Caenorhabditis elegans: one gene and its partners. The protein of the gene in region 3 interacts with the protein of the main gene of each other region in a pairwise test. Each region holds a gene or a part of one and is shown on either strand. Other genes may lie near its edges.

Region 1 (4,753 bases), 2.4 Mb from region 3:
GAATTTGCCGAATTTGCCGAGCACGGCAAATTTCAAAAAAGTAGATTTGCCGAATTTGCCGAATTTGCCGCACACGTCAAAAATTTGACAGTACAATTTTGACTAAAACTATTGATTTTTTAGCCAAAAATTTAGTAAAATGATACAAAATTGAGCTATTTTGATGCTTAAACAGACATACTACGCGGAACTTATTCAGAAACCAGATGTGTGTTAAGAATTCAGTAGTTTTGGTGCTCCAAAAAACATAAAAAAAATATCAAATTTTTCCGAGTTTGTTAAGCACGGCGAATTTGCCGAATTTGCCGAATTTGCCGAATTTGCCGAATTTGCCGTGCTCGGCAAATATTGAAAAAAGAGATTTGCCGAATTTACCGAGCTCGGCAAATTTTGAGATTTGCCGCACACCCCTGGTGGAAGCCCTAGGAGAGGCTACAGCAGTTATTCCAAAATTCTCAAGGTGGGTTCAAAAATTTCCTAAATTTTTCTCATGTCCTCAAAAAAAAGCAAATACACTACTAAAACTGAATCATGCACTACCAGATGCCTATCAGTCGCACCTTTTGATGACCTTCCCCCCTGGTTATCTCCAAAATGATGATCTCACAAAAATCCGTGAAGACGCAATAATATTTATGTTCCACCCTTCCACATCTTTCCGATATAACCTATCATTAGTACGGTTTTCTTGTTGGATAAAGAGGTTTCAGGGGCTGACAAAATATTTAATATGAATTGAGTAGAGGGGTTTTTCATATGATACTACCCTAAAAACATTCCGGATGACTGATCTTTTTAGGACCCCCACTTCACCCCATTCAAGCACCTCTTCTTTGTCGGCCATATATTCCGATCCGTCAATTTTGGTCGCAGATGACTTTAATCCGCAACTTCAGCTGCTCCGAAAGAGCACAACAACAATAACAACAGATAAGGAAGACAAGAGACCCGTAAATAGTGAAGAACAGATGCTAGTTGGGATGGTTTTAGGGGTAACAGTAAAGCATATATATCAAGAAAATTCAAAGGTATAGAAGAATATCAAAATGAGTGATTTTCACCCATTTGAAGATACTTTCAGAAAAATTGCAAAGCACGTAAAAATGCATTAAATTATTGGAGGACACTATTACAGACTCTGTGGCATAGTAAAGACAAAAGGTTGTATTTTATTCCAGCCATGTGTTTAATGTAACGTTTTGCAAATGGATATAAAAACAATAGTTCCAGTTATGAACCTTTAAAGCTCTAAACATTGTCATGTGGTTTGATTTAACTTGACTCTTCAACAAGAAGTATCTAAATATATAAACGTATCAAACACACACCCTCCCCTCCGACTTATTAATTGACACCATATGTCGTATGTATATATATACAAAAGTGATTGGGTGTGAAAATGCGGTAGAAATCAAACAAAAATGGGGGACCTGCGGTACTGTGAGGCGGAAATATGTATAGAGGGAGTTGGATTTATACCGAAAATTTCGTCTTGACAATTATTTTAGAATTGAATTTTATCGTGTTATTTTTTTTGAAAATTCTGCTCAAAGTTTTAAAAAATACCCTATGTTTTGGCAAAATTTAAGTCATTTTTCTCACAAATTTCTTGAAAATTCTACTCAAAAACTTGAGAAAAAAGAAACACCATACTAAATCATCAAATCATCATTAAAACCAAATACGGATTAGCTGCTCTACCCAAAGCGACACACATTCATCAATTCTTATCGGATTTTACCCGCAAAAACCAAAACTAAATTCAGAAAAAAAGAGAAAAAAGTGGCAGGGAGAGGAATCAGTAGTTGAGCATCAACCGACAGGTGGAAGAGCATGGTCGTTACGGTTTATTCAGCCGTCTGGCAGGAAGAACAAATTGGTTTGAAACTTGTTCTACTAGACTAGTTAGTAAAATATTTTGAGAATGTGCCAATAGCTCCACTTGCCACTATAGTAGAAAAGTATCATATTGTTCGAACATCCTTTCAACTTTACCAGTTGTCATTGTCATTGTCATTGTCATTGACTCGGTTGTCATTGGTTTTATCAGAAAATTGTCAACTGACAAAATGTTTGTCACATATTTTTTTAAAGTTTTCTAGTTTACTATATTTTGATATTTTTAAAATCAACTGAAATTAGAGCTTCTAAAGTGAGGAGGATTTAACATGGTGCATCAGCTCATATCTTGGTTGTCTTTTGATTTTATTTGAAATTGTCAACTAACAAAACATTTTTCAAATATTTTGCTATAATTTTTTCATTTTAAAATTACTAGCATTAAAATAAATAGAGATATAGGCTGTCCAACAAATTAACCTCAAATGAACCCACTTTGGCAGCTTATGCAACTTTATCAGTTGATATCTTGATTGACATTGGTTTTATCAGAAAATTGTCAACTAAAAAATTGTTTTTCACATATTTTTCTATAGTTTTGTATTTTACTATATGTTGATATTTTAAAAATGAACCGAAATATGTGCTCCTAAAGTGTAGAGGTTCAAACATGGTGCATAACTTTGTCACCACTTTCCTTGGCTATCTTTGGTTCTATCAAAAAACTTTTAACTAACAAAACAAATTTCATATGTTGTTCTATAACTTTGTAGTTACATATTTTTTCGTATCTTAAACATTAACCGAAATATAAACTGCCAAAGTTGCCCAATCAATGCACCATGTCCCCTAATTTTTCATTTCACATTTCGACTGTTCAAATCACAATAAGCAAATTGCCGAAAAATGTGAAATTTTTCATTCAAAATAAAAATCACTATCAGCAATTTTGAGCCAAACTTCATTGAGCACATTTGCTTTTAGTAGCAAGTGTGTTTTGCTCCAAATACTATAAAAAATAAACTAACTTCTTATATCCAAAATTCCCTCAATCGTATGTTTCGGAGATTCTTCTTCCTCGGCTTCTTCCGAACTCGACGGCGGCTCTTTTTTGACCTGCAAAAGAATACTATTTAGGAGTCATGAAGTCAGTGGACAAACCTTCAAAAGGTCAATGTGATTCATTTTCGTGTAAACTGTAGAGTGTCGGCGCTTTCTTTTGACCTGGAAAATGGTACGGGGTGGCGGCGGCTGATGAAAGATGACGTGGCAATGAGTGACGAGCTGGCTACTATTTTCAGTGACTCTATAGATAACAAGGGACGGGAGGGGGGCTGTAAAATGCGGAAATTTACAACACTTTTTGCTCACTTATTGTTGAATTGAATCTACATTATAAAAACACGATAATTTTAAGATATGAGCAAAACTTGCTGTCACTTTACGATCTCATGCCTACCTTATGCCTACTCTAGGCACCAGGCAGGCATAAAGGCCTACTGTACAATTCATAAAAAAAGAATGAAGTATGTGGAAAGTGGGACAATTATTAATATCTTCAAATTTTAATGCGTTGTGACACAAGACACAAGGGAAAAGTTTTAGTTTCAAAGGCCTAATTCCCTTGGCTAATACGATTTTAAACGGAAGAGGAGAGGTTTAATGTTAGAATAATTTAAAAGTTGAGGGAAATGGTTTAGTCTTAGATTTTTTTTAAAAGTAAAATCATATATTGGAAATCACAAAAGTTGGTCTGCTCAAAAGTTGTTTAAGTGTAATGAAGAATTTTTTTTTAGCTATTTGATAATTATTTTATAATACCTGCAATGTTTTTGTATGTCTTCTTACTTCAAAATAGCTCAAAATTGTCTGAAATTGCCCAAAAAACTCTTTGAAAACCCGCCAAACAACGTAGGAAACCGAAACTTGCTCGAGACTTAACTTTGAAAACTTGGTTGTTTTTGTCAACTGACAAAATATTGTACAATTATGCAATTAACATTATTAATCAATTTAAAACAAACCAAATTTTTTTCCACTTGCCAATATATAACTATTTTGGAAAATTAGAAAATCATCATATTAAACGAACATGGTGCATCGAAAAAAAACTTCAACTTTACCAGTTTATATTTCGGTTGTCATTGGTTTTATCAGAAAATTGTCAACTGACAAAATGTTTGTCACATATTTTTTTATAGTTTTCTAGTTTACTATATTTTGATATTTTTAAAATCAACTGAAATTAGAGCTTCTAAAGTGAGGAGGATTTAACTGCATAACTTTGACAGCTCATATCTTGGTTGTCTTTTGATTTTATTTGAAATTGACAACTAACAAAACATTTTTCAAATATTTTTCTATAATTTTCTCATTTTAAAATTACTAGCATTAAAATAAATAGAGATATAGGCTGTCCAAGAAGGAACGACATGGTGCATCAATTGAACCTCAAATGAACCCACTTTGGCAGCCTATGCAACTTTATCAGTTGACATCTTGATTGACATTGGTTTTATCAGAAAATTGCCAACTAAAAAATTGTTTTTCACATACCGTATATCTTCTATTAATATGGCCTCCCTATTAGACTTGCACTCCCTATTAGTATTGCCCCTCGGAGACCTTCCGAAAATTAGTATGGCACTCCCTATTAGTCTTGCACTCCCTAATAGCCTTGCGTTTACTCTTTTTTATTGCAGGCCCGTCTTGTTAACTTCAGGATTTCAACAAAAAAATTTGCCTATTTTGCAACAGTTTTTCACAACATTTCTACGAGATTGAAGTTTTTGAACTTATTATATATGTTACAATTAAAAGCAAATTTTCTGAATTTTTACATAAGATTCGAGCTTTTTCAGAAAAAAACTAGTAAGCTCAAAGTCAGAAAAATGTTCTGAAAATTAGTATTGCA
Region 2 (7,749 bases), on a different chromosome or scaffold from region 3:
TCTTGCGAGAAGCCAACGCCGAGCTGGCTTCATGTTTGAGAAGAAATGCTCAAAGTCTTCAAAATATGGAGAGAATGACACCTTCAATGGGATCAGCGTCAATGACCGAATCATTCGCACAATTGCCTTCCTCATCAGATCATTATGATTAAATTAGTGGAATTGCGTTGTAAATATACTACATTCCAAAAACACCAATTTGCTTTACGTTTTATAATTATTTTCTGTATTTTTAAATCAAGCCAAGAATTGTAAAAACCAAATAAAGTTCATGTGTCATACAGCAATTCTACAGTTCTCTTTCCAGACAATTACAGTAATCCGGGCGAGAAAGGAAAAAGGCTAACTTTTTTATTTTTGGAAACTCCAAAATCTTTGAATTATAATTTTAGAAAAGCGAAAAAATCAATTTTCTGCTAAACGCCACTCAATCGTAAAACCTTCAGCCCTGGGAACAGGGTGTGAGTTAATCATCGCAAGCATCGGCCTGTGCCGGGCGCGCAGACTACAGACTACAATTTACAAAATGATACAAGTATTGATTATTTATTAATGTCACTAGGCTCAAAACAGATAAAAGAAAATCGTACAATCACTGGGGACGCGAAAATGTACAATAAGAAGATTGAGAGAGAAAAAGGAAAATTTGAAGATGAATAAATGTCTAAAAGCTATAAATAGTTGAGGACCAGAAAAAGTTGAAATTCTATTGACTATTTTGAGGGATTTTTTGTAAAGAAACAAAAATATTATGCCCGCTTGGAAAGAGAGAGAGAGAGAGAGAGAGAGAGAGAGTGGAGACTTGAACAAAAAAGAGAGTCATTTTCAGAGAAGATCGTTATGGCAGAAACTGTAACAAATTCGGTGATACATTTAGATAAATTTCACACCGTTAAAAAGCTCGTTCTTTAAAAAAAATTGAAAAATAAGATGAAAAGTATCAAATTAAGGCTTTGACAACAAATCGAGAACATCAAAACCTCCCTTTTTGGGTGGTGTCACTGACTTTTGCTCTTTCTTCACTTCAGGCTTTTCAGCTTCTTCAGAATCTTCAGAAGTTGCTTCGACTTTACATTCCGATGAAGCTTTTGCCAAATGTTTGGAGAGTAATGAAGCAGCAGCTGCAGGTGAATTAAGAGCCATTGAGAATTGTGGGAAGAGTGTTGCCATTTGCCAATGTGCAAGTAAATCCATTGGCATATTCTGATACATCATATCAATTGGCGGTGGAATGCAGAATTGGGGAGATCGTAACGGATGATGAGCTGATAATGTTGGAGTTGTTGATGTGGAAAGGCTTGATGTTGTTGGAGTTTGTGATGGTTCGGGTTTACATTTCTTCAATGTTGGCTCATCATCTTCTGAATTGGATTCTGATGGATGTGGTGAATGTGTGGGTAGTGAAGCGGTTTTTCCGGGTGGACTTTGAGTTGCATCTCCATTCATTCTGTGAAGTTGTCGCTTTTTCTCACGCTTCCCGGCTCCAGCATCCCGAAATCCTTTGGCAAACGGATTGTTTTCGATTTTCAGCTCCGTCACCTGCAAAATTGTTTGTTTAATTGGTTTTTATAAGATCAAGAATTTTGTGCGAACATCGACCAAATGCATTGTATTCTACGCGCAAACACAAATTGGCGGGTTCTCCATTTTATTTACTGTTATTCAAAAATCGTTAAATTTCAGCAAAAAAGTTCTTTTTTCTTTAAAAAGGACATGGGAACCCCCAAAAATATCAATTTGAGTTTCAAGAAGAACTTAAAACACATTAACGAAACAAATAATTTAATGAATAGAATTCCCTGTTATACAGAACTGATTAAGTTTAGGTAGATTTGTGATTCCAGTTTTTGCTTTAAAAAACTTCCAAAAAATTGAAAATACGGATCTATCGATATTCACACAAAGTACAGCGAATATTTTCATCACATTTACTTTTTTACAATTTCCGCCTCATTTTTCAAATAGCTTCAAATATACTAAACTAGAAGTTCCACAAAAAATGATTCGCATTACTGTAGGTGTGTGTGTGGTGCGAATTAAAATGATGGCTGGAGGAGGTAGCGGCAAAAAAAAAGTAAAAAAAAAAGAACTAATAAATTGGGTTACTGTAGAATTAGATGAGAGTGTGTGAAATGTTTCACGTTTTCATTGGAGCGCGATTTCACGTACCTTCTCGTTTTGATAAGCCGTAACAGCGATGAATTCGGTCTCACGGAACACAAAAGTTCGGAAGGTACTGTACATCAAATTGTGTCGATCCGCGCACCGAACTACGTGAAGACGTGGCTGATACTTGTGCATAGAGTTGAGAATTGTCTGAAAATATGAAAATCTATAGATTGATTTTTGAAATTCCAAATTTTTCCATTCCCTCCCAATAATTTTGCAAGATTGCACACGCAAATTCAGAAATTCAGAAGCATCTTTGGTGCAATATGAAACCGACAAATCTGTACGAGAAAGCGGCAAATCTGACGCGAAATTCGATGCCTCTTCTTCGTTGGAATAAGAAGAGATGGCTCCCTTAGAGTCAAAAGTCGAAATTTCAAAGAAAAAAGTGACGTCTTCCGGAAAAGTAGGATATTGTAATGGAGCACTATAAATCAAAAAAGGCCTAATGTGTTCTGACATTGTAAAGTTGCATTAATTGGAAGAAAATTTTTAACGACTAATGTAAATCAAGGGGCTTTGCTACCTTATAATACGCGCTTCAATGTACGCTTAATCTTGATTCAGGCTTTCAGAAAATCCCTTAAAAAGCGATTTCCTTCTCCAAAAATCAGTCAACACATCATAAATTCGTTGGAAAAAAAAATCTCAAATTCGCATATTCCCGCCGTGCTATTCATCTCCCCTATTCTTCGAATATTTGTCCCGAGAAATTTGACTCTTTTTTTGGTGGTAAATTCACTTTGTTTTATCCCCTTTAGCCTTCTCCCCCACTCGAATATGAAATGATTGGTGGCCAAAAGGATTACTGTAGTTTTGCCAGTTTGACACCGATTTTCTCGTGCAAAGAGGATTTATGAATGGCAAAAACCACCAAAAACGAAGTTTTTACGACTTTTTGTTTAGTAGATTTCATGATCATACAAAGTAATAAAACTCACATATCCATGCTTATCCGATATATTATTTGTGAGTTTGAGTTTGTGAAAGTTGGCGCCTTTTGACATCCAATGCTCGCCTGAAAATAAAATGTTTGGGTCTTGAAGGGAAACGGGTTATTGTACTATCATGCCTACCTTCCAACCGCCTATCTAGTGTGAAGGCAGTAGGTAGGCGAGCATGCCTACTTGGAAGGCTCAGAATATTAACTGGTTTTCTAACTCTAAATTATCAATTAAACTAAGTTTGCAATTGTCTAGTTGACCTAAAAACAACTCAAGTTGGCACAAGTTGGAATTTTTAAAATATTTTCTATTCCCTTACCAGTTGACGGAGAATCCGGATGAATATACAAAGTTTTTGGCATTTCGGGATCGGCTTTTCCAGCAATCATCCATCGACTATTATTGAACTTGTAACGGTGTTCATCAGCCGGAACAAGATCCATCATCACGAAATATTGACTTTTCTTGTCGAGACCACTGATTTTCACTCGATATGCTGGGAATATCCGTCTGGAAATTTTAAAATTATATTCAAGTTTTATTCACATTTCTGATTCCTTTGAAGGAAAAAAATTTTACATCTATTAAAAAATACACTCGTTTATTTTTCTAATTTTTGACAAAGCTGTGTGAGCTGTTAAAGTTTAGCAATAGGAAAATTGAACAAAACACTGAGTTTCCCACAGTTTTAAATTATTAGTGATTCGGAGAATACAGCACCTCTTAGGTCTCGCGCGGAAATATAAACAAGGATACGGTAGTTCGTGGCGAGACCCAAAAGACGTGTATGTGCCTTTAAATTAGTATCTCAGATTATTAAGGGATGTTCATATTTTCAAGGTTTTCGAAGTTTTTCAATTCCCCCATATTTAGATTCGCTTTGTGCATAATAATTCGTACCCTTTCTCACTGAAATTCGATATCCAACTGAGGCAAATATATATGGAAATTGAATTATCCGAAATGCAAATATCTAGCTTAAAAGAGTCAGATGGATCTCAATTTTTGATTGATTGAAAAAAATAAATTTAACAAATTTTGGTTCCAAACAAAAATTCCGCGACAATTGTCACACATTTTCTCCAATTTTCACAGCAGAGTCCGTTGTGCTCTCTCTTTTCAAATCGTTTAGAAAGTGAAAAAAGCGAGAGAAAAAAGTGGCGAGCAGTGATAAACATTTTCACGCCTTTTTCTTGCTCTCGGAGCATCGACAAGGATTACGGTAGGAAATTGAATTTTGGGTGTCTTTTGTCTCGCCGATGGTGTGAAATTTGACAATTTTGGGAGTTTCGTTGAAGGGAAAGGACAAAGAAATGTCTGGGCTCAAAAAAGAGCATATATCTCTAGAGTTATTGACTTAATTGAAAAATTGCCAACTAGCAAAATTTAGAGAATATTATAACATGTACTGTGGCAGTTAAAAAATTGCAGAAATTAAATAACTACACGAGTTATGGCGGTTTGAGCTTGAAACTTGAACAGTTAATTAAATAATAATAAAAGAAGACAGCGAGTTTTGAAAAAGTATTGTGAAAAACTTTTTGACAATCAGCCAGATATGTTTATTTTTCATTTTAAACTTAGATATATTTTTCTACCAATTTGTTTTCAGTTTTCAGTTTCTATTTCGAGACTTTAAATCCTATAGGTTTTTCAAAAGGCTGTTAAGTTCAAAAATGTCAAAGACCAAAAAGGTTATAAAGTTCTAACTGTTATAAAAAATATGACTTTGAAATAAAGCTGAAGCAATTTCGAAACGTTTCAAGAGAATAAAAATTAAATAAAAACTGATTAAAAATCGCCAGAAAGTCTATGCAGAATCGAACGGAGAACAAGGAAAAAGATAAGAGAGAGCACACGAAAAATAAATATTAAAGTTTTTGAATTTTGAATTTGAATGATAATAATCAATTTGGAATTGACTGAATTTCAGAACAATATAGCATTTAATTTGATAATAATTATTTTAATATAATTTCAAATTTTTTGTATTTTTTGTATTTTTAAATTCCCTGCTAGTCTTGCACCCCAACTGCTCGACTTTATCAACTTATATCTCAATTGTTTTCAGGTTAATCAAAAAATTTCCACCGTCAAAATATTTATTTTCTATTTTCCATTCTATAGATTTATAATTAATTACTTGATGATTACAATAAACCGAATGAGCTCTCAAAGTAAAGTGATGGGGATTTTAACTTTGACAGCTCATATCTCTATTATTCCTTATTTTGTCAGAAAAATGTTAACCACAAAAATATAGAAAACAGTATGGATTTTTTAGTTGAGAACTTTTCAGCTAGATTAATGACAACGGAGTTATGAGACTGAGGAAATATAGTTCAAAATCAAAGCAGACAAAAAGAGTTTCAAGAAGAATTTAGAAAAAAAAACTTAAATAAAACAAACCTTCCACTTTTAGTAATGACCATTTCAGTTCCACATTGTGAAAACTGTTGCCATAATTCTCGTTCATCAAGCTCAACTTTCGGATCATCAGTTACCCCATCATCTTCAGGTGGTGATCCAACAGGTCCTGGTGGAAACCCAGCTTGAAGCATTGAAAAAAACAAATTTGGTGGTGGACCACCGGCTCCAGGACCACCAACTCCTGCTCCCATAAATGGTAACAAAAGATCAGGACGTCCAAGTGCAAATGGATTGAATGCCATTTTATGATGATCTTTTCTTTACACAAAAACCGTCGGCTTAAACTGTTCCGGGGATAAATTGAAAAATCTCCAAAAACGTGGTTTTCACCCACAACGACGTTGAGGGGTATATAGCCTGGCCTTGTCAAAGTGAAAGAAGTCACGCCGTAGTCGTCCGTTTTGCCGCTCTATGACTCGGCTCCGCCCACTTGTGTGTCGATTGGCCCGTGGGGAAACCACTATACCGACCAGCCGAAATGCGGGCGGGGCTTAGGTGGCAAGGAGGAGGACGGGACTGACGCCATGGGTGTGGCTGATCACACGGCTCCTGTTGGGTTGATGCGGACAAGGGAATGGTCCATGGATGGATGCCACGTGGTAATATGGTTTGATTGGAAAATCCATCTTTTGTTAGGAGTCCTTTCTTTTCAAAGGTTTCTGTTATTTTTAAACTTTTCATGCAGACATGGTTGGCTGAAATTTTCTGAAACGTAAACTTAAAGGCGCGTGGTTTTTTAATGGGTCTCGTCGCGAAAAATCTAATGGTGGCTCATTATTATTTGTATATTTATTTGTCGAAAAATAAACTGAAAATCTTGACGAATATCAAGTAAAATTCATAAAAAACGTATACGATATCCTGCCAAAAACTTTTCCTCGTAGTGAGACTTATCTGAATAAATCCGTGCGCCTTTAAAATACTGCTCATGCTTCGAAAAATTATTCTATTTGGCTTATTATTTTACTGTAAAGCAATACTGAAAATTCATCGCTTCAGGACTTTAAATAGTGTCTTATTACTGATTCGTTGAAAAAATGCTATTCGATAGAGCGAACTTTCACTTATTATATTATTCTGAGAATAAGTCGTTCAAAGGCTTCAAACATTTTCCATAGAAACGAACGCCGGAGCCATAAAATAAGAGAAAAAGCACACAAAGTTTTTTTTTTCGTTTTCTTCTCGGGACCCCCGTTTTATTATTTTCTTCTTCCTGAAGCAATTACCATAAAAAACAATTCTCCGCCGGTGGCTTCAAGTGCTCAAATTCCTAATTTTTAACAATTTCTGAATCGTAAACACAACTAATGAATCGGCTACTCTCATTTCACTTCATTCTCGCGGCTTCTTATCACTTAAAAACTGAAACTGCCACCTCTTACACGGTGGTTCACACATTTGCAGCACTGAATTGATGATAAGATGGAATTCGAAAATTAATTTCAATCAACAAACAAAATGGGTTAACAATTGATTAACAAGTGACAAAATGAAATGTGAAATTCAAAAGAGAACAATCAAGACGTTTTAGTTATCTCGGTGACTTCAGATGTTCCAAGTTCGCGAATTGAGCTGAGTTCCGGATCGACATCCATTTCAGATTCATAACGAATAAGAATTCCAATTAATGCATGAAGAGTGTGCTCTTGTTGTGAGCTTAACAGTGTCTTTTTGTGCTTATCCTCAGCAGTTTCAGTTCCTTTGTCAAGTTCTCTCATTGCAGGATAGACTCCTTTGGCTCGAAGCACTTCACGTCCATGTTTTGTGGCACATAGCTGGAAATAAGAACATCTATTATGATTTTTCCTCAGGCTAACTTCTCAAATTTGGCGCCTAAACATGAGAACTAAATTAGTCATCACTTGCAGTTTCCGCTTGATCACCCAAATTAAGGCACAGCAGCCGATTTTTTTCTCGCGATCGATTACCATCTCGAGATTACAAAACAATTGACTGTCGCCCGTCCGTCCGCGTCAACTGCTTTCATTCAAAAAACTAATCAAGCGTCGATAATTTTTTGGCGCCCCGCGCACCCGCTCCTGTTTCTGATTTAACGCCTATCGACGTCTTCGTCGTCATAAGAATCTTCAAGCGATTTAGGAACGGGGATATGCTTTACTTGGAACTACACTTGTGAAGACTTAATTCTGATTTTTACCTGGAATAGAGCTTCAATCAGCTTTTGGCGCACAATATCACTGCTATC
Region 3 (3,611 bases):
ACCATCTTGCCGGCTGCGTTGATCACTCGGAGCACTGGGATCGTCTTGATCTCGAACTTTGATTGATATCGTCTGAAAATTATGATTTATTTTTGAGACTCTGAAATTAAAAATGATAAATCTCACGTCAAAATGTCGTCTCCATACTTGACGCAGAGCCAATCGCCGTGCTTCTCGGTGAAGTTCTCTTCAAGATCAGCCTTTGATCTATCACGAGAGAAGAAAACCACTTCGATGGGCTTTCCAGCCTTCTTCAGATGATGGTAGAAGCGCTGAAGGGTGTGGAAACTCATTGGAAAATCGGAAAATCTAGATTCAGCACTCACAACTAGCTTCGGAGTGAACTGCTTACACGGTGGACACCATCCCGCGGAAAAATAAAGAGCAACAACCTAAATGTCATATTCTAAAATCTTTCACTACACACTAATATTTCGCCACCTTGCCCTTCAGAGCTTCTTCGGCAGGAACTTCAGTCAAGTCTTGCTTCAGAAGCATCACACCTTTCATGAATTCGGACATTGTTGGAGAATCTGACATGAACAGTTCATGGTTGAGTTGCAAAATACAAATAAGTTGAGGGAAAAAAAATATAATCAAGTCCATTTAGAAAATTGGAATACACGGGATTTGTCAACAATTAAATTGTGCTCCTGATTTTAAGAGAATTGGGGGGAAGAGAAAAGAGATGGAAAACAGAACGGGATAAAAAGAAAGATGAAGATCAAAATGAGTAAGAATGATGAGGAATAGTCTTTTGAAAGAATAAAGACTACTCAGCCCATGGACCAGTGGAAAATGATTGGGTTTGCGTGCACACGAAATTTGGAAAAAGTCATCGAAATGTTCTAGCTCTCGAATTTCATCAACCACGAAATGAAAAACCAGGCACGACAAAGCTTTTGGTTAGATTGAAATAAAAGATATCAGAAAAGTTGCTTCGGTGCTCGAATTTCGAGTTGTGTCAACAATCGTTGCCGCATACAGAAATAGTTAACTAAATGAAATGAGGATGGGAGGAAAAAGGAGAATAGAATAGACGACTACCACGAAGCAAGCATCTACTCGAGCATTTGCTTCTGGACGAGTTCGGCAGCATACTTCACAGCTTCCTTCTTCACTCGCTTCTCATATTCAGCCCTGTAATAAATTCATTTGTGTATTTTTTTTATAATATTCAGATAAAAAAAACTCACCTATTCTGACAGTAGATCTGATAGGCTTCAGCCTGAGCTGGATCTTCAATATTTGGATGGTTCAGCAAATCTTGAATTCCAATGAGAAGTTGCTTGATTGAGATTGACGGCTTCCAATCCTTGTTTTCATCCAGAAGAGATAAGCACACGGTACCTGAATTCAATTAATTAATTATAACTATTGGACTGCAATAATAACCTGATGGGTACACATTTGGATGGAAGAGTGGTGGCTCGAACTTGCACTTTGGTGGCGTTGACGGGAAATCGTCCTTGAAGAGCATCCGAATCTGAAAGAAAATTGAATTAGATTTATAAATATCGTTGTATTCCAAATAGCAGTTTTTGAGAGAAACAGTTCACGAATATTATAGCTCAATAAATTAACGAAAAATGATAATTTCCGAATTCTAGCTTCACATACTCTGTATAATCCGCCTTCCCAAATCGTATCCTTTCTCCCTGGGATTGCACATTCCCAATTGAAGAGGTTCAATGTTCCGTCGGCGTTCTTGACTGGTTTGGCAATGAATCCGAATGGATGATCCTGAAAATGTTGAGTTTTGGGCATGAAAACAAACTATTTTTCGATAATTTTTAGAATTTAACCGATTTAAAGCGGTTTTGTAATACAAATCGCCCCGACTTGCCATGTAATGATAAAATTCTCACCTTTCGCCAGTGTTTCCTTTCTTCCGCGAGGCGTCCTGCAGCAATTCCCGACATTTTTGTTCGGTTACACTGAAAAATATCAAATTTGTAAAAGAGAAGTGGACAGTGAAGTTTTAGGCACAACGAGAAAAGAAGAGAGAGGTAAACAAACGAAACAGCGTGTTCGTGACACTTGTCAGAACTATTTTAGATTTTTCAAACAGAAATCCGATCGATAAGAAAGAGAAATTTCTCGAAAAAGTTCAAAAATAGGATATCGCGCCAAAAAACGAAAAGGGGGGCGAGCACCGCCCGTATTATCGATCAATAAATTGCATAGTGCGGCGCGCGATTTCGCAATGGTGTCGCACACGAAAACTAATTTCGACAGAATGCAACAGAAAATTACAAAACGGTTCGCAGTTTTCGCGCGCACACAAAAGAATATTCAAGAAAATTATAAATTCGAAGGGCGCGAAATTCAAATAATATTTATTCGCGGCAAAATGTGTGAGAATGAGAGTGCCCAGTCAGTCATCCTTCTTCAAAACCTCTCCTTCCTTGCGCTCTTTCGTCGGCGAACGACTTCCGGGGCTGCAAAAATGATAACGTTTTCAAAAAATAAAAAACTTTTTTCTCACTCATCAGGCGTTCTCTCCATGTCCGGATTGTTCGAAGGTCCCGTGCATCCATAATAGTACGGCTTGTATCTTCCTCCGAACAACCAGTCCATGTCGTATAACGGAATGTATTCTCTGAATTAGAAAGTTGGAAATTTAATTATTTTAAGTGTCAAAATATATGCCTATATATAGGATATATATACAATAGGTGATTTTCTAGAATTCAGATGTACCTGTGATCTCTCATAACGGTCGAATAGTTGATTGTTGCTTTCAGATTTGGACTCAAAAGTCCACCGTATATCCTATTCCATTCTCTAGAAAATGTTCCAATTAGATCTATTTTTCTTGATGAACAAAGCCAACCTAGTTACTAGAATGATCACCAAAGAGAGAGTAGAACCGAAAAATGGAAAACTACGAACTAGAATTGAAGCTGCGAATCTGGAATAAAATTTTATTTTGGTTTTCCATTATTGTTTAATTGTAGAAAATAGCTAGTGAGCTCACAGAGAACAAATCGCAGAGCTCAAGAAAAGCAACGATGACAAAAACAATTGATTAGGTGGTTCGTCTGTTGCTGTACTCTTTGTAGTTGACTCACTACCATCAAGCAATTCCGTAGTGTAATCAGCCATATTTGTATGCACAAATTTGCTTCAAAGAGTCAAAAATTTAAATTTATAAATAAAAATTAAAAACTCACTTGTCTTCCGGAAACTCTATAACACCACTTTTCGAACTCATCGTAAAAATAAGAATGATTTAAATTTGAAAAAAATTTATTCATTTTTTAATTGTAAGGCAAGGCACATATGGAACGTGTAAAACGTGTACTATTTATCACAATTTCTGAGAGAGCGATATTTCCGATTTGAAAAAAAACAAAACAAAGAAAAAACGAAGGAGCACCGGGCTTCTGAGGGGGCGCCCAATGGCACAGGGGTTTAGAATTATGGCGCAAAAAAGAAGAGTTGGAAGCAATAATTACAGAAAAAAAATAAAAGATCGTTCCTAATGTCTTCTACAACACGGGAAGAAGAATTTGACAAAACGACGGCGGTATGGGTTGAGGAGGATCAGAGCCAGAATTAGGAAGATAAAGGGTCTGAGCAAGAAGAAGGTCAGATGAAGTGGGAAC
Region 4 (4,685 bases), 5.6 Mb from region 3:
CTCGATCTACCATACTAAAGCGGAAAATGTAGAATCAGAAAATAAATTTTTGGCTCAACACGATATACAGTTAAAAATAAACTAGTATATCATAAATAAGTGAACTTTCTTATCAGGAGCCAATTAGTCATCTCTGACGTACAAATATTAACAATAAATTTCAAAACCTAAATAAGAATAGTAAAGATCAAAAGAGGGCAAGATCATGTTGAGTAATTTGAATGAGACGATGACAACAGGCAAGGGTCACACAGCTGTTCAGCAAATGTGCTGTGACCGTCGGTATTGCATAATAAGAATCGCTTTTGAGAGCATAAGTACGGACAGTTGGGTATTTTCAGGCAATTTTCAAGGTTTTTTGTTGTTGCCGGAATTTTACAAAGCAAAAATTCCACTCCACATTTTGCGAATAGGCAAATTAGAGATAATCATCTTACCTCATTCTTGGCCGCTTCAATGTCCATTTCAGTTAGTTGGATCTGGAATTATTGCTAGGTTAACATGATGAACACGCATTTTTAAAATACAGTATTAAAGGTTTCGAAAACCTTTATAAATTAAAAAGAACATTAGCTTATCAATACTGACATAATCAGTTCAACTATACGATTCATACAAAACGACGGGTAAAACAAAAGAGAGAGAGAGAGATGCACAAACCTATATATAATACAGATACAAAAAAGGAATGTAACGGAATAGTGAAACATGAGGGGCAGGCGAAAACTTTTCATAGAGAACATAGAACGCTAGATTTAAAAACGACCCAAATAAACATGATGAATCCGTGAAAGTGTGGAGAGAAACAGAAATGTGATATATTTATCGGGATATGAATGATGAAGTTTGATAAGAAAAAGAAAAACGAACGGCTAGTCCTCGCGTGCGTCCTCAATACCATGATTCGTGATTGAGTAGGTCGCTTCGGCTTCTGGTAAATTGGGTGATTGAACCATTTTTGCGACGCGATTCTCTCCTTTTCCTTTTCGAAGGTACAATCTGAAAATATGAATAACTTAATTTTTCTTCTTTAAAAAATCCTCAAAAAGACCACATGTAATGTTTAATAAAAAAATTAAATATGTTCTCTATTTGTTCAAAATCTTCAGAAAACCTCCAACTATGTTTACCTGGTAGTAGACATGTGAGCGATGATGTGACCTCCAATGGGCTTTTTAGCATCAGCCTGGAACATCGAGGCTCCTCCGTCGACTTGTGCTACAACTTGATTGGTAATAATTACAGCGACACCATATTCATCGGCAAGCTTGGCAAGGCATTTCAGAAAAGCAGAGAGCTTCATCTGACGTTCCGCTAGATCTCCTCTTCCAGTGTATTCGTTACGGAAATGAGCAGTTGCACAGTCAACAATCACAACAGCATAACGACTCTCGGACATCATTGCTCCTATGGCACGAAAAAGTTTATTTTTTTATTTTTTGAAATTTAGATTTACCTGCTCGAATAATCAAAGCCATCAAATGTTCTGAGTTGTATGCACGTGCAACAGCGATATTCTCGAGTACATGAGCACTGTCCATATTGTATCTGCAAGAAATTACTTCGATATTCAAAAAAATGCTACAAGATCCATAATAAGGTAAATTCTCAAATGCCAAAATTCAAGCCATGTGGCGTAAACCAGTAATTGTACAAAATGAGCCATTGCGACTTGTTCTCCAAACGTTTTTATTTCAAACTTAGTGATAGAATATAGAGAAATATTTACTTTATCTGAAAAAAAAAACTTATATTTGTTGAAACAATAAGGAAAAGGCTAAAAAATTGCCTGCAAGTTGAAATTCGCCAAAAAAAGACCCGGAACATCTCTGAAAGTTCATTTACGGCAATTTCCAACTTGCAGACCATTTTTGGCCTTTTCAATTGTTCAAGCAAAAATAACAGCTATTTTCAGACTGAGAAAATATGTTACTGATTTCTCGAAATAAATTTTAATTTTTTTTTAAATTTTCAAGTCGGGAGATCAAATTATGACAAATTCAGGATTTTTAAGAATAATTCTCAATCACAAACCTCTGAGCGATAGCAATAATTCGTTCGGGTCGAAAAGTGGCATTGGTATCAATATACATACATTTTCCCTCACCACCTCCCATATCAATCGGCAATTGACACAAGACTGCCAGACTGTGGCAAAGCTGAGTTTTTCCTGTTCTATATTCTCCGTAAACCTGAAATAAATGTTTTATTGAGTACTGTTGTCAGTTTATCCGTGATAAACTCACCTCAGTGATACTGCCTGTTTCGATACCGCCACCCAACAGTCTGTCAAGTGAAGCAGATCCAGTTCTGATCTGCACCAGCTGGCTTCGCTTCACATGAACCTCGGCTCCCGTCGTGAATCCCATCTGCACGAATTTCATGGCTTCTTTCTGAAATTAAATCATTGAAATATGAGGCCGATGTCTACATGTTCACAGCTGGTCGATTTGCCGTCAAAACTGACCTTGCAGCTGATCGTTTCATTCTTTTTCGGAGCTAACCTCGAAAAATGTATCAACTTTTCTGATACTTTCAATTCAATTAATTGGATTTTGAAAAATAAAGCCACAGAATTTTTAGTTTTTTTCTTTAATTCTCGAATAAGCTGATTTTTTGATATGCTCACCATTATCTTTTCAGCTTTCTGATCACTAATTCCTTTGACATTTCGGAGTTCGCGTCTTGTAGTAAATGCCAGCGATTCGTATGTATAGTATCCAGCTTCTTTTAGTTTTGAAATATCGCCAGAACTGATTCCTGAAGACTCAAGTTTATCGATAACTGTGAAGTTTTCATCTTGCTCCATCGCATTATCCTCGATTGCTGCATTGAGCAAAGCTTGATCAGCTGCACGCTGCTCTTGATCCGATTTCTTTTGACGACTTGCTTGAGCTGACATTTTTGACTCCTGAGATAATTTTAATTAATTATTTTTAAGTTAAAACATACAATTGGAAGGAAAAGATTTATTGAATGCAAATTCAAATTATATAGCCATTTATGTGTACATAGTGAACGTTTCGCAATCCCTAAAATCGGCATTTTTAACAGTGGAGCTTTTTTTTTCAAAAATTATGCTACACATTTACCTAAACTTATTTTTAAAATGTTACCTTCATATCCCCAAGATTGTCCCATAATCAATAGCAAAAGCTTTCTCTAGAGCAACAAAAATTGAGAAAAACATGGCCTAGAGACACGTGCCAAGTCCTTCCTCGAGCCCCCGTTCGCTTGACGAAAACAAGAACTTTCATGTTTTTCACAAGTTAGAACTGCTTTTGCTGCTCTACTATTTTTGTCGTCAACTACTGATTTATAACAGGATTAAGTCCACATATTTCTAGGCGTCAAGTTGAACGAACATATTTTCGAATTTAAGAATCACAATTTATGATTTATAGGTTTTTATTAAGGGTTTTCTTAGATAGATTTTCGTTTTAGAATAGAAAACATGGAAATTTAAATGCAAGTAAAACTGGCAGTAAATACAGAATTCTCAATTTTCAAAGTAGCGCCATTTGAAATTTTTTTTTCCGCTTTTTCGATGGCGCGCACTTGCTGTACTCTTGTTCAACACCTCGCCCTCCCGTCTCGTCCACTGCCGCTCGCGTGTGTGAAAGGCACCGATAGGAACGGGCCAGGGAAAAGGAAAAAGTGTAGAAAAAGACGATGCGCAGACATACAGCAAGGAGGGTCAGTGGACGCAATGGGGAAAAGAGAAGGAAGAGGACACCCAAATGTCTACTATGTACATTGTGTCCGAACCATTTTAAAACCAAAACTGGACATTAACCTTATCTTTTGCCCTTTTGAGCTTAATTTTTATATCACTTTTCTGCCTTAAAGCATTATTTTTTAAAGTACTATTCGTTTTTCAATCACTCGAACTATTAAATCTTTAAAACATTTTTTCTTGCAAGATTCTATGATTTTTGAATACTATTACTTATTAATTTATTAATACTTAGCTTAAATTTATATAATAATTTTTTATCTTGAAAATTGTTTTTCGTTGATTGAAAATTATATTTCAAATTTAGAATTGTTCGCAATTAAAAACGGGTAAAGCATGAAATATATTTCAGAAATCGAACAAAAATCAGGCTTTTTATTTTCCGAATATCAATTTCAAGCGTTAACCGAAGCGTTGTTATTTAATGACAAAAAATTTTGTTCATTTTAGGTTTTCATTCAAGAAAAGGAAGCAAAATTTAGCATAGCTGAAGACTTTTAATTAGTTTAACTCAAAAGCTACGAGAATAATCAAAAATTTAATAAAAAACCGCGCAAATCATTAGAGGATAATTAAGTTTTAAAACTAAAATGACAAAAAATGACAAAAGAAACAATGAGAAATCAAAACATGTTTCCTCCGTAAATCGACATTGAGTACTGTAGCGATTGGTCTCGCAGCGATGTTAATTTTCTTCTGTACTCCTCTCGGATAAATTTTATTATTATTGAACATGCGTATTAAATCGTTCATTGAACGGAAAATGGAGAGAATCGCAAGAAAAAAAATTATGATGAAAGTGCAAATAATTTAGAAAGGCTATGACACAGGTGATTCGCCGTTATAAAATACTTATGGCCACCAGTATTTTAGATGCAATTTGCAAATCGCTAATCTCGCTGCGGGACCACCAACATTCTAGCAATATATTGCTAATTGCGACTTTTAG

What was found.
Region 1: the proteins of ubc-9 (region 3) and lin-1 interact in a two-hybrid assay, tested with the Caenorhabditis elegans proteins (one study listed by BioGRID).
Region 2: the proteins of ubc-9 (region 3) and tbx-2 interact in a two-hybrid assay, tested with the Caenorhabditis elegans proteins (2 studies listed by BioGRID).
Region 4: the proteins of ubc-9 (region 3) and rad-51 interact in a two-hybrid assay, tested with the Caenorhabditis elegans proteins (2 studies listed by BioGRID).

What each region holds. Positions count from the first base shown.
Region 1 is NC_003282.8:2,297,263-2,302,015, forward strand, and holds the start of lin-1 (ETS domain-containing protein), read right to left. Parts: upstream 3,025-4,753; coding exon 3,001-3,024; intron 2,956-3,000; coding exon 2,868-2,955; intron 1-2,867.
Region 2 is NC_003281.10:5,130,392-5,138,140, forward strand, and holds tbx-2 (T-box protein 2), read right to left. Parts: upstream 5,929-7,749; 5' UTR 5,786-5,928; coding exon 5,523-5,785; intron 3,624-5,522; coding exon 3,433-3,623; intron 3,188-3,432; coding exon 3,111-3,187; intron 2,317-3,110; coding exon 2,170-2,316; intron 1,540-2,169; coding exon 946-1,539; 3' UTR 532-945; downstream 1-531. Other genes in the region: sax-2 (MOR2-PAG1_N domain-containing protein), read left to right, coding at 1-152; Y54H5A.2 (Protein HGH1 homolog), read right to left, coding at 7,061-7,318, 7,702-7,749. UniProt on the Caenorhabditis elegans protein: Involved in the transcriptional regulation of genes required for the development of pharyngeal muscles derived from the ABa lineage.
Region 3 is NC_003282.8:4,649,370-4,652,980, reverse strand, and holds ubc-9 (SUMO-conjugating enzyme UBC9), read right to left. Parts: upstream 1,938-3,611; 5' UTR 1,923-1,937; coding exon 1,869-1,922; intron 1,744-1,868; coding exon 1,621-1,743; intron 1,487-1,620; coding exon 1,396-1,486; intron 1,351-1,395; coding exon 1,197-1,350; intron 1,141-1,196; coding exon 1,062-1,140; 3' UTR 534-1,061; downstream 1-533. Other genes in the region: F29B9.5 (Thioredoxin domain-containing protein), read right to left, coding at 1-72, 127-272, 327-392, 442-522; F29B9.7 (Pheromone-regulated membrane protein 10), read right to left, coding at 2,378-2,441, 2,489-2,602, 2,704-2,787, 2,837-2,914, 2,981-3,127, 3,177-3,217; F29B9.8 (Serpentine Receptor, class T), read right to left, coding at 3,485-3,611. UniProt on the Caenorhabditis elegans protein: Accepts the ubiquitin-like protein smo-1 from the aos-1-uba-2 E1 complex and catalyzes its covalent attachment to other proteins with the help of an E3 ligase such as gei-17.
Region 4 is NC_003282.8:10,281,104-10,285,788, forward strand, and holds rad-51 (DNA repair protein RAD51 homolog), read right to left. Parts: upstream 3,142-4,685; coding exon 3,117-3,141; intron 3,033-3,116; coding exon 2,953-3,032; intron 2,912-2,952; coding exon 2,630-2,911; intron 2,394-2,629; coding exon 2,247-2,393; intron 2,193-2,246; coding exon 2,035-2,192; intron 1,549-2,034; coding exon 1,457-1,548; intron 1,408-1,456; coding exon 1,131-1,407; intron 1,000-1,130; coding exon 873-999; 3' UTR 531-872; downstream 1-530. Other genes in the region: thk-1 (Thymidine kinase), read right to left, coding at 438-464.